Stegostoma tigrinum: one gene and its partners. The protein of the gene in region 3 interacts with the protein of the main gene of each other region in a biochemical or structural test. Links are inferred from orthologs where the notes say so. Each region holds a gene or a part of one and is shown on either strand. Other genes may lie near its edges.

What was found.
Region 1: the proteins of gopc (region 3) and somatostatin receptor type 5-like form a complex in vitro, tested with the Homo sapiens proteins (2 studies listed by BioGRID and IntAct, with this or other methods). The link is inferred for Stegostoma tigrinum from reciprocal best matches to the Homo sapiens genes GOPC and SSTR5.
Region 2: the proteins of gopc (region 3) and corticotropin-releasing factor receptor 1-like form a complex in vitro, tested with the Homo sapiens proteins (2 studies listed by BioGRID and IntAct, with this or other methods). The link is inferred for Stegostoma tigrinum from reciprocal best matches to the Homo sapiens genes GOPC and CRHR1.

Annotation. Positions count from the first base shown.
Region 1 is NC_081376.1:15,254,601-15,258,353, forward strand, and holds the start of somatostatin receptor type 5-like, read right to left. Parts: upstream 2,364-3,753; 5' UTR 2,280-2,363; intron 1,396-2,279; 5' UTR 411-1,395; coding exon 381-410; intron 1-380.
Region 2 is NC_081384.1:41,196,432-41,200,184, reverse strand, and holds the start of corticotropin-releasing factor receptor 1-like, read right to left. Parts: upstream 2,244-3,753; 5' UTR 1,229-2,243; intron 1-1,228.
Region 3 is NC_081357.1:61,386,326-61,390,078, reverse strand, and holds the start of gopc (Golgi-associated PDZ and coiled-coil motif-containing protein), read left to right. Parts: upstream 1-1,095; 5' UTR 1,096-1,097; coding exon 1,098-1,589; intron 1,590-3,753.

The DNA of each region.
Region 1 (3,753 bases), on a different chromosome or scaffold from region 3:
TAAGTCAGCACAGAATGAGGCCGTTCAACCCATCTGCCGGCCGTATGCACGAGCCAGCCTCCCTTTTATTTTTCCACGCAGCGTTACAAATGCGAGCTCCTCCATTATTTAGACACTCCCCACTTTTTTTAAGTTATTAAACAAAACGCCAGTAGTCCAGTTTTATTTAACAACATTTTTTTCTCTCTCTCTCATGGTCCTACCAGAATTTACCAACTTGGCAGCACGACCTGAAATGGACAGACATCCACTGGCCACTCTGTTCGACGTTAAAACACTGGAAGAACTCTCCAATGTCTACACGTATAATGTGGTTAGTACAGAAATGTTGGCTCGTTCGTACCCAATTTCCGTCATTCCGCGCCTTTCTATTCCGTTACCTGGTGGGTTATTTCCAGCATATGTGCCATCCAATCGTGAGGGTTGGAGATCTGGAATTTAAAAAGGTCCGACAGGAGAGCGCAGGGCAGCGAGGGCTTTTCAATAAGCTCTTGACCTTTAAAGTGGTTCAAGGAAGATGCTCCAGGACAGTTCAGGAGCGTGTGAAGCAGATCGAAGGAGCTGGTTATAGACACCTGATCGGAGACAAGCAGCCCTGCTGGCTCTAAGCTTGTTCAATTCTAAGCGACTTTGCAGAACATCTGAGTTCCTGTCTGAGGCATTCAGTGATTAGGAGAGCGAGAGAGGCATTGGTTGCAGACTGGATTCTCTCTCTGTGTGTGTGTGTGTTGGGAGGGGAGTCTCAGATCTGCATGTACTCCCCTCCTCAAACAAACTGTCGAATCAGTAGATCGTAGTGCGTATGAGTCACCAAAGAACACAAGCATTACATGTGGAACACACAGCCTCTTAGCTCCAACAGATGTAACCCGATCCATTCATCAGCCATTATACAGATTCAAATGTGGCACTTAACCCATGAGTCTTCACCGACTGAGTGAATATTAAAAGTGAGCAAGAGTGCATGTTAATTGACTGAGATCTTCCCAAACCGTCGAATTTTCCATCTGAAACAGAACTACAGACGCATGTTCCGCTGGTCACAAACTCAGGAGCAGTGCTCCGTGGTCATCTCGCCTCCTTTCAGGGATGGGTTCTCTTCCTTGCTCGCCCCCTCTCCGGTCTTCCTCTTCACACTTCCAGTCACTTCTCGGCTCGTTCCCCAATTCTGGGCAAAACCATGTCTTCTGTTCCAAAGCACACAGAGGCCGAAAGGTAACGTTGATATTTGGAGGGGGTCAGTGACAGCCGGTACTGAGTGCCTGTATAGTTAACTAGACGGGTAAATCAGCTTCTCTCCTCCCTAGGACGATTCACTTCTATACTAATGCAGTCCATAGACTGACGATTGTTTAACAGGGGGTGTCTCAGTTTGAAAGTAACATGTCCCGGAACCTGTAAGGCCGATGAAATAGTCATGAAAATATAGTCATTGTTGTAGACTTCTATATTAACCTAATGTTTCTCTTTTACACGCCCGATTTTAAATGGGACGCAGCTTCACTGTACGCGAGTGTTATAAAACGCTGGAATGCCACTAAATAGCAACGAGGTTTGATGTTCCTGTGTCCGTTGCGCTTTGTATTTTAAAAGCCTATTAACATTTAGAAACTGCGCCATCAGTTAATTTTTAAAAGAATAAAGGCGCAGTACGATTGGAAAACTTTCCTAAGTCACATTCCACGTTACAGAGAATGAGGTTTTATCCTCCTGTAAAATAAAATGCAAAAAATAAAGGAAATGATGAACGAGGTTCACCAACAACATAAAAACCCGGGGTATAGCCAACTCGCGTATTCCTGAAGACGGGCAGGATGATTTGATATCATTAGTATGGCTCCGCTGTGTGGAACGAGAAACACCAATTTGTCCTGGGATCGTTTGCAAAGTGGAACAGGTCAGTGTCTCAGCACGATCAATAGCTCCCTCTGGCGACACAGCAATGAGTACAGGCCACACAGAGGCGTAGACTGGAACAGGTCTGCCACAAACGGGAGGGCTAGCGATAGGGTTTGCTGTGTGGGCGCGAGCAAGACCATTATCGATTGCACATCCCTAGTTGCCCTTGTGAATGCGTTGGGGGTGGGGGGGGGGGTGGTCTTGAACTAAAGAAAACCCAAAGAACTGCGGATGCTGCAAGTCAGTTCTTCTTGAACTGTTGCGAAGGCGCTTTCACAATGTTAATAGCTGGGGAGTTCCACATGGAGCGATGGATTAAAATCTGAGCAAACCATGTTATGTAACCTGGAAAGGAACTATGGAATTGTAGTGTCCCCAACCTTTTGCTCCGTCTGTCCTTGCAGGTGCTGAAAAAAGGGGTGTGGAATGTACTGTTGAGGAATCCTGGATAAAGTTATACAGCATATCCTTGCCGCCACCATATGCTGGGATTGGAGGGCGTGGAGGCTGTGATTGCAATGTTAATTAGTAAACTGTTTCGTCCCAGTTAAAGTCAGTACTACCCAGACCAAAAAGTGTTATTTGTATTTATAAAGTGATTCATCACATTTCATAGGTGAGCTAATGTGAAGTGTGGTGACATTCCTACCTTCTCAAGAATAGGACAACAAAGATAGCGACAATACATCTGGTATCTGGGAGACAATGAGCTAATTACTGGGAAGTCTAAAGTCGCTGCCTTTCTTTCATCCAACAAATGCCATTCCTTCACCATCTCCAACCCTAACAACTGACTTGAGCTGAGCCAGATTTTCATCTTGCGTTTGGTCCTGAGACCACCTATCAATCACATATCCATCCTGTAATGAAACCTCTTTCCACCTCTGCAGTACCTAATTCTGCTCCAGCCTCAGTGCCTCTGTTGCTGAAACAATCACCTTCTGACTTTGTTAACTCCGAACATGATTATGTCATTGCTCTTCTGGCCAGCCTGTCAGCTATCACCTGCCTCAAACTGTTTTAATCTCATCCAAAACTTTGCTGGCCCTTTCTGAACTTGTTCAATGCTCCAGTCATCCATCACTTGAGGACTTGCTGTCATGTGCAGATGGAGGATTGACAGTGCCTTGCTTTCAAACACCTTATCTTCCTTTTCAAGTTCCTCCACGGCTTCACACGTACTCATCCTGAATCTCTATCTGCCCCACAATCTTCCAAGATGTCCATGCTGACAGAATTCTATCCTTTTGGTTGTCCTGGACTTTAACCAAAGCCTCTGCATTCACTTGCACTGAGCCTAAACCCTGAAAATCCCTCTGTAACTGTCTCAACACCTCACTTTCCCTTTTGTCCTTTAAGATCCTTTAAATCTAATTTCCTAAAGCCTACCCCCTTGAGTATAAGGTATCAGAATGACCAAGGCTTTGGTTATCAGTTATCAAAAATATATTGGTTAATAATACAATTGCTAAGCACCATGGGACATTTTGCTACATTGAAGGCACCATCTAAATGCATATGGTTGTTAGGTAGGCAAACAGGACGAGCATTTCTAAACAAAAACAGGATGAATGGCCAATTTGAAGTGAGGATTGATTACACACTTTAAGGTTGCTGTGTTATGAACTGTATGATTTGGGCCAGTCTTGTTGATTATTAGCACTTGACTTCCTAATGTTGTACGGAGTAATTATGCTGCAACAATTAATCTGTTAGTTTATTATATGTCAATATTATACAGGATGCAGCACACAATATATTGGTGTCTGCTCCTCACCTTGCTGAGACATTATTGTAAAGCTTTCTCACCTGTGCCAGTCTCTAAAATGCTCCTTTATAATCTGCCACATATGT
Region 2 (3,753 bases), on a different chromosome or scaffold from region 3:
TTAGCATCAGACAGACTATCATTTGAGGGAGATGTCAGACACAAGATGTATAGGCAGAGAATTAAACAACATCGGGGAGACAGGCATAACTGGATGGCTAGACAAGAGACAGACTTCAGACAAAATACACAACAAAAAATGCTAATTTTTTTTAAAAAATCTATAAAAAGGAAAGGAAATAACCATAAATGTAAGAGAGCTGTAAAGGTAGAGGGTGTAAAACACAGAAAGAAAGCTATAAACATGAGGAAAGGAGCAGAGAAAGTAAAAGACATTGCTGTGATACAGTGACTTGGAAAAGAGACTGGATGCATTTTCCATGTGTCAGCAACTGGGCAACTCTATGGGGACTCTATGTAAAATGCAACACAGTGATGAGCTGGAGAATAAATATAGCAGGGAAGATCGTATTGCCGAGGACTAGAAAAAAACAAGAAGAAGCTACTTCAATTCCAGCTGAGCAAGAGTTGGAAGGGTAGCTCAAACAGAAATGCCGGCACGCAGAAGCTCCAGTTCAAATGGAGAAATGGTGTCTGCACTGACAGCTTCCAAACAGGGGAACTCTATCTCCGAACAAATCGGGGTGAAACACTCTGTCAAATACAAATACAAGGGTAAATTTACATCCAACGCGCTCTCATCTTCTGCTGGGTTAAACCAACTGCTGCAAATTAAATGAAACATAATGATTACTGAAAGGTATCTATATCTGACCATCCTGAGCTGCTGTTGAGATATATATAATTATTCTCTGTGATATTCCATAAATCACTGGTTTATTCTGTTTCGCTCGAGCAACATTCGCTCAGTTGGCTCGATCTCCAATCTCTCTAGATTCGATCAGTTTGTGGACGCACTTCAGCTTTTGTTTTGTAATCAGAACGTAAAGAATCGTTTCTGTTTTGAACTAGAACAAGAAATAAACAGTACAGTGCCTCAGGGAGAGGACAGGGACTAATTCTCAGATCCCGTTCTGAGGAAGGGTCAGTGGCCCCGAAACATTAACTCTGATTCCTCTCCACAGATGCTGCCAGACCTGCTGAGATTTTCAAACAATTTCTGTTTTTGTCTCCTGCCCAGCAAGTTCACCGCTCCCATATCCAGAACATCACCGCACCTCGCTCCCAGCTGCAGAAAATTCCAGCTTCCATACGTCTCCCTCAACGCTGTATCAGATTCCTAGCTATTGCTTTTCAAATTGTAACAATAAATGAAAAGTCGGTCTTACCCTCAGCTTTCAGGAGTTGCACAAAAGCAGCTACTGCACGGAGTCTCTGACCTGGTCAGAGATAATCAGTTTGTCCTGCTCTCTTCGTCCTCCTCCTTCATTCCCAGGGCAGCAGGAACCGCTTCAAACAAGCAGAAAGATCGCCTTCCCGGATTGCAGGAGAACTCCCACTGTTCTCGGCGTCGCCACGCGGCTCTGTCACTAAAGTGTCCCCGAAAATGGTCCAGATTCTCTCTGATCTGAATGCGATCTGTCTCTCCGTCTCTGTCCCTCTTCCTTTGTCTCTGTCACTCTCTCAAAGCCTCTGACTCAGTCTCTCTCCATTTCTGGCACACACTGTCTGTGCGTCTCTCTCAATCTCTGACTCTCTGTCTCTGACTCCCCCTCTCTCAGTCTGTGACTCCCGCTCTCTCAGTCTCTGTCCCCCCTCTCTCTCTGACTCCCTCTCTCTGTCTCTGTCCCTCTCTCTCAAGCTCTGTCTCCCCCCTCTCTCTCTCTGTCCTTCTCAATCTCTGTCCCCCCTCTCTGTCCCTGTCCCCCTCTCTCTCAACCTTTGACTTCGTCTCTCTGTCTCTGTCCCTCGCTCTCAGTCTCTGACTTCCTCTCTCTGTCTCTGTCCCTCCCTTTCAATCTCTGTCCCTGTCCCTGTCTCTGTCCCTCTCTCTCAATCTCTGTCCCTCTCTCTCTCAATCTCTGACTCACGCTCTCTGTCTCTGTCCCTCTCTCTCAATCTCTGACTCCCTCTCTCTGTCCCTCTCTCTCAGTCTCTGACTCCCCCTCTCTCAGTCTCTGTCCCTCTCTCTCAATCTCTGTTCCTCTCTCTCTGTCTCTCTCCTCGTCTCTCAATGTCTGTCCCTCTCTCTGAGTCTCTGTACCCACTCTCGGCCTCTGACTCCCTCTCTCTGTCTCTGTCCGCCTCTCTGTCCCCCTCTCCCTCGGTCTCTGACTCCCTCTCTCTCGGTCTCTGACTCCCTCTCTCAATCTCTCTCCACCTCTCTAAATCTCTGACCCTCTCTCGGTCTCTGTCCCCCTTCTCTCGGTCTCTGTCCCCCCGCCTCTCGGTTTCTGTCCGCCCCCTCTCGGTTTCTGTCCCCCCTCTCTCGGTTTCTGTCCCCCTTCTCTCGGTCTCTGTCCCCCCCTCTCTCGGTCTCTGTCCCCCCCTCTCTCGGTCTCTGTCTTCCCTTCTCTCGGTTTCTGTCCCCCCTTCTCTCGGTTTCTGTCCCCCCTTCTCTCGGTCTCTGTTCCCCCCTTCTCTCGGTTTCTGTCCCCCCTTCTCTCGGTCTCTGTCTCCCCTTCTCTCGGTTTCTGTCCCCCCTTCTCTCGGTCTCTGTCCCTCTCTCTGTCTTTGTTCCTCTCTATCTCTGACTACTCCCTCTCTGTCTTTGACCCCTCTCTCTGTTTCTGACTCTCACACAGTCTCTGTCCCTCTCTGACTGACCCTCACTGCGCTTCTCCCCGACTCTGTCCCTCTCTGCTCTGATTCTCACTCAATCTTTCTCCGTTGCGGCCCCCCTTCTCTTACCCTCTTTGTATCTCTCTCCGCCTCTGCCCACCCCCGCCTTCGTCTATCACTGACCATACTCTGTAGCTTCCTGCCCTGACCACCCCTCTCCGTCTCTCTCCCTCTTTCCCTCCGGCTCTGTGTCTGACCGTCACTCTGTATGCCTCTCTGTCCCTCTCCTCCTCCCTCATTCGCCCAATCGCTCCGGTGCACTGGATCAATCAGAATTTGCTCGGTCTTGTGCGAAATTCAGAGCGAGCGACCCCTCCCGATTCCGGGGCGGGGGGTGGGACTGGGACTGTGGTGCTAACAGCCGGCTGCGGTAAGAGGCTGTTGTCCGGGGACACCGGGGAGCTTTTTCAACTTTCACTTTGGTAACTCATGTCACATCCAGTCACGGAGTTTATTCCGTGTGAAAAGCAAACTTTGTCATTTCATCTGATTTCTTTATCAAATTGGATCCCTTTTGAGCGCGGGCCATTGATCAGAGCAAACCGCAGTAGCTCGCTCTAAGTTATCACATTCCTGAGTTTCTCTTTTAGGTTACCGTTAACTCTCTCGGTCTAAAATCAAACAATCCTTGTTTCCATACAATTGAAGTCCTTCAAATAAATGTCACGGTGCAGAAAGATGCCATTCGGCCCAACTTGTCCCTGTTGGTTTTCTGGCTATTTTAATGTATTGTCGCTCTCCCACTTTTCTCCATAATTGTGCGCATTGTTTCAATTTAAATCAGCCAATGCCTTCCCGAATACCTTAATTTTATCTGTTTTTTACCATTTTTAAATCATTCACAGGACATGGACATCACAGAGGGTGGTGTGTGTATGGAGTGAGCTGCCAGAGGAGGTGGTAGAGACGGGTACAATTACAACATTTAAAAGGCACCTGGGTGGGTACATGAGTCTGAAGGGTTTAGACAGATATTGGACAAATGCTGGCAAGTTGGACTAGACATATTTACGATATCTAATTGGCATGGACAAGTTGGATTGAAAGATCTGTTTACCGACTGTACAATTCT
Region 3 (3,753 bases):
ACAGTGAAAAGCATTGTTTATGAGCAGTACAGGCAGATCATAGTAAGCAAGGACATACAGATTGTAGGGAGAAAAACAAAACTAGACAGATTCATACAAGTTGCATTGCACAGGGTGTGTGCTAGGGTCAAGATCAACATTAGCAAAGCAGCATTATTTGAAGTTAGAGAGTCCATTCATCAGTCTAATAATGGCAGGGAAGAAGCTGTTCTTGAACTTGCTGGTGTGTGTACAAGCTACTGTATCTTCTGCCTGAAGGAGGAGCTTATAAGAGACCTTGTGAACATGTCAAATTTCCTGACTGGCTGAGGAAGGAGAGGCTTTACTGTGCCTCCCTGACTGTTGCATTTATGTGGGATATCTAGGACAGGTTGTCGGTTATTGTCACTCCTAGAAACTTGACAGCCTCATCCTCTCAACCTCAGCTCTGCTGATGGAGATGGGGGCGTGTTCTTCATCCTTCTTTCTGAAATCAATGATCAGTTCTTTAGTTTTGCTGAAGTTGAGTGAGAGGTTGTTTTCAATGCACCAAATCACCAAGCCCTCTATCTCCTTTCTGTACTCTGACTTGTCCTCTGATCACCTGACTTCTTCCAATTCAGATTCCCAGACATTAAACACTCCACCACCAGTGGCTGCACTAGCAATTTAGTCCCAATTTCTGAAAATATTCCATAAAATTCTCTGCCTTCCCACCTCATTTCTCTTCTTCGAAATGCGCCTTGGAAGCGACTTCTGGCCAATGTTTTCGTTCAAAATAAGAAATTGAAGAAGAAACTCAGTAATAGATCAGATGTCGCTTTCTCTCCACAGATGCTGCCAGCCCTGGTGAGTTTCTTCAGCAATTTCTGCTTTGGTTTCAGATCTTGTGCATCCGCAGTGTTCTGTTGCACTTCTAAGTTTTGGTTCAAAAGCTCCTGGACGGGGCGCTTCGTCATATTTTACACTGTACAACAGGAAGAGGCGAGTTGTGTTCAAGGCGCCATATAAATTCAAGTTGTTGCTGTTGCGGGGCGGCGGGGGTGTGTGTGAGTGGGTGCGCGTGCGGGCCGTGGGCGGGGTTTCTGCCGCGCGTTCTGGCTCTGCCCCCTTTCTCCATGGTGACGGTTCGAACGACCGTTCCTCGCTCCACTCGCTCGGCCTTCTACTGTTGTGGCAGGCGCGAGCAATCGAGAGTGGGCTCCTTGACAACCGGAACCGGAGGCGGCGCCGCGGTCCACGGAGGAGGAGGAGGAGGAAGAAGAGGAAGAAAGAGACGAAACTCCGGGCACACGGTACAGGGCTGCGGGTCGGAGTCCCCAACCGCCATCTGCTCCCTTCTCTCCCGTCCTGCAGCGTCAACTATGGCCTCCTCGGCCGGGGCTCCGCCGGCAGCGGCAGCCGGCCCTTCCATGTTCCGCTGGCTGGAGGTGCTGGAGAAGGAGTTTGACAAGGCCTTCGTGGATGTGGACCTGCTCCTGGGGGAGATCGACCCCGACCAGTCCGAGATCACCTACGAGGGCCGCCAGAAGATGACGGCGCTCAGCTCCTGCTTCGCGCAGCTTTGTCACAAGGCGCAGACTGTCTTCCAGATCAACCATAAACTGGAGGTGAGCCCAGGGGTTGAATGTTTGCTGTGGGAATAGAGAACCCCGCCCACCCCGTCTCCCTTACTGAGGATCTGCAGATTAGTGTGAATATCTCAATAGCCCCCGTCCACCACATTGGATCAGCCCCATACTGTGAGTCAGTACACTAGTATCAATACTGTATCTCAATATAATCTTGTCCATTAGGTCAGCCTCTGAGGATCAATATAGTGATGTTACTATGGCAATTGAGACCCCCTTGCATTGTCCATCCATCTCCTTCGTGTCAGTTTCTATAGAGATCTCTCATTGCATCAGACCTTTGCTGCGGGCCCATAAGTCACTGTTAATATCTTAATAGAAATCCCTCATTAGATTATCCTTTTACTGAATATTGCACCACAGAGAAAAAATAAACTCCTGAATTAAGGGTCTAATGATGACCATGAAACCATTGGCAGTCATCAGAAAAATTCATCTGGTTCACTAAAGTCTTTTTGGCTGTAAATGCTGGCTTAGTCAAAGATGACTACATCCTGTCAGTGAATTTAAAATAAAAGACCTTCTCTCCAAATTGGATCACTCCACTCTCTGAGGGTCAATATGCTAATTAAATAGCTCACTAGAGATCACGTTGAATTCTGCTCTTGCTGAGGATCAATGCAGTAACTATTATTAGTATCTCAATAAAGAATTGGATTAGCCCGTATATGATAAACCTTTAATATACTGGGGATCAGTATATTACTGATCATATCTCAACAGAGATCCACCTCCATGGTATCAATCTTATACTGATGTCAAAACAGTAACATTAATATCTCAATAGAAATACCTGTTTAGATCAATCCCTTTCTGATACTGACTATATTAATATCAATGTATAGAACTGAATAGCAAAATTTCTTATAGTTGTCTAAAAAGGAAAATAACGTTTAACCAACTTATTACAAGTTTTCGAAAAAGTAGCGTAAGTGTTATTGTGGTAGTTTCCCTATCTGTGAGCCAGGAGGCCTGGGTCATGTCCTGTCTGCTGTAGGGGAGTTTCATAACATTTCTGAACAGATTGGTTCTAAAATCAAAAGAAAGAGTAATATGCACACTGGTTAAGGAGCAGACCATTGATTGACGATAATGTGGTGGCCAAGTGGTATAGTTACTGAACTAGGAATCCAGATAATGTTCTGGGTAACAAGATTCAAATCCCACCGTGGCAGCTAGTGAAATTTTAATGCAAAATAATCATCTAATGATCATAAGACCATTGTTGGTGTGCAAAAACCTAACATGTTAACAAACATCTTTTAGTTAAGAATATTGCCATAGTTCACCTGGTCTGGCATACATGTGATTGACTGTTAACTGCCATCTGATGGCCCCGCAAGCCGTTCTGTTGTACCAACTGCTAGAAGCTCTCAATAAAGGAATGAAACTGGAAAGATCACCGGGCATGAACCCAGACACTGGAAATGACAATGGGCAAATTCAGCTCTGCCAACCCTACAAAGTCCTTTTTGCTAACTTCTGGGGATTAGTGGGAAAATTGGCAAAGTTGTCTCTTGAATTAGTCAAGCAACAGCCTCTCAACGGCATTGTGGATCTGCTAATAGCACATGGGCTGCAGCAGTTCGAGAAGGCAGCTCACACCCATCTTCTCAAGAGCAACTAGGAATAGGCAATTCAGGCAACAACACCCATGTCCCAAATGGTAATATTTAGTTATTTTTAATTAACAAATTCCAAAGATTTAACTTGTCCAGCCATATAAATACAGTGGCTCCTGGGTGTAGGTCAGAGGCCTGAAATTCTGTGGTAATTTCCTCATCACCTGACTCCCACATTCTGTCCCGACATTTGCCGTGCACAAAGTGGGAGTATATTGAAATGCAGCCCACTTTCCTGGATGAGTGCAGCGCCAATAACACTCAAGATCTTCAGCAACATCCAGCTCAGTGAAAACTGCTTAATCAGCACTCTATCCACAATGTTAAATATTCACACCCTCCACCAGTCGTGGGCAGTGATAACAGTATGTACTAGCTACAAAATAAGCTAAAGCAACTTCTTCAGTACTTTACAAAACCTCAGCGTCTACAACCTAGAAAGTAGCAGTGCATGGAAACACCATCCTGACTTCAAATTATATTTATTCCAGTTCCCTCTCCCCATCCCCCTCTCTGATGAA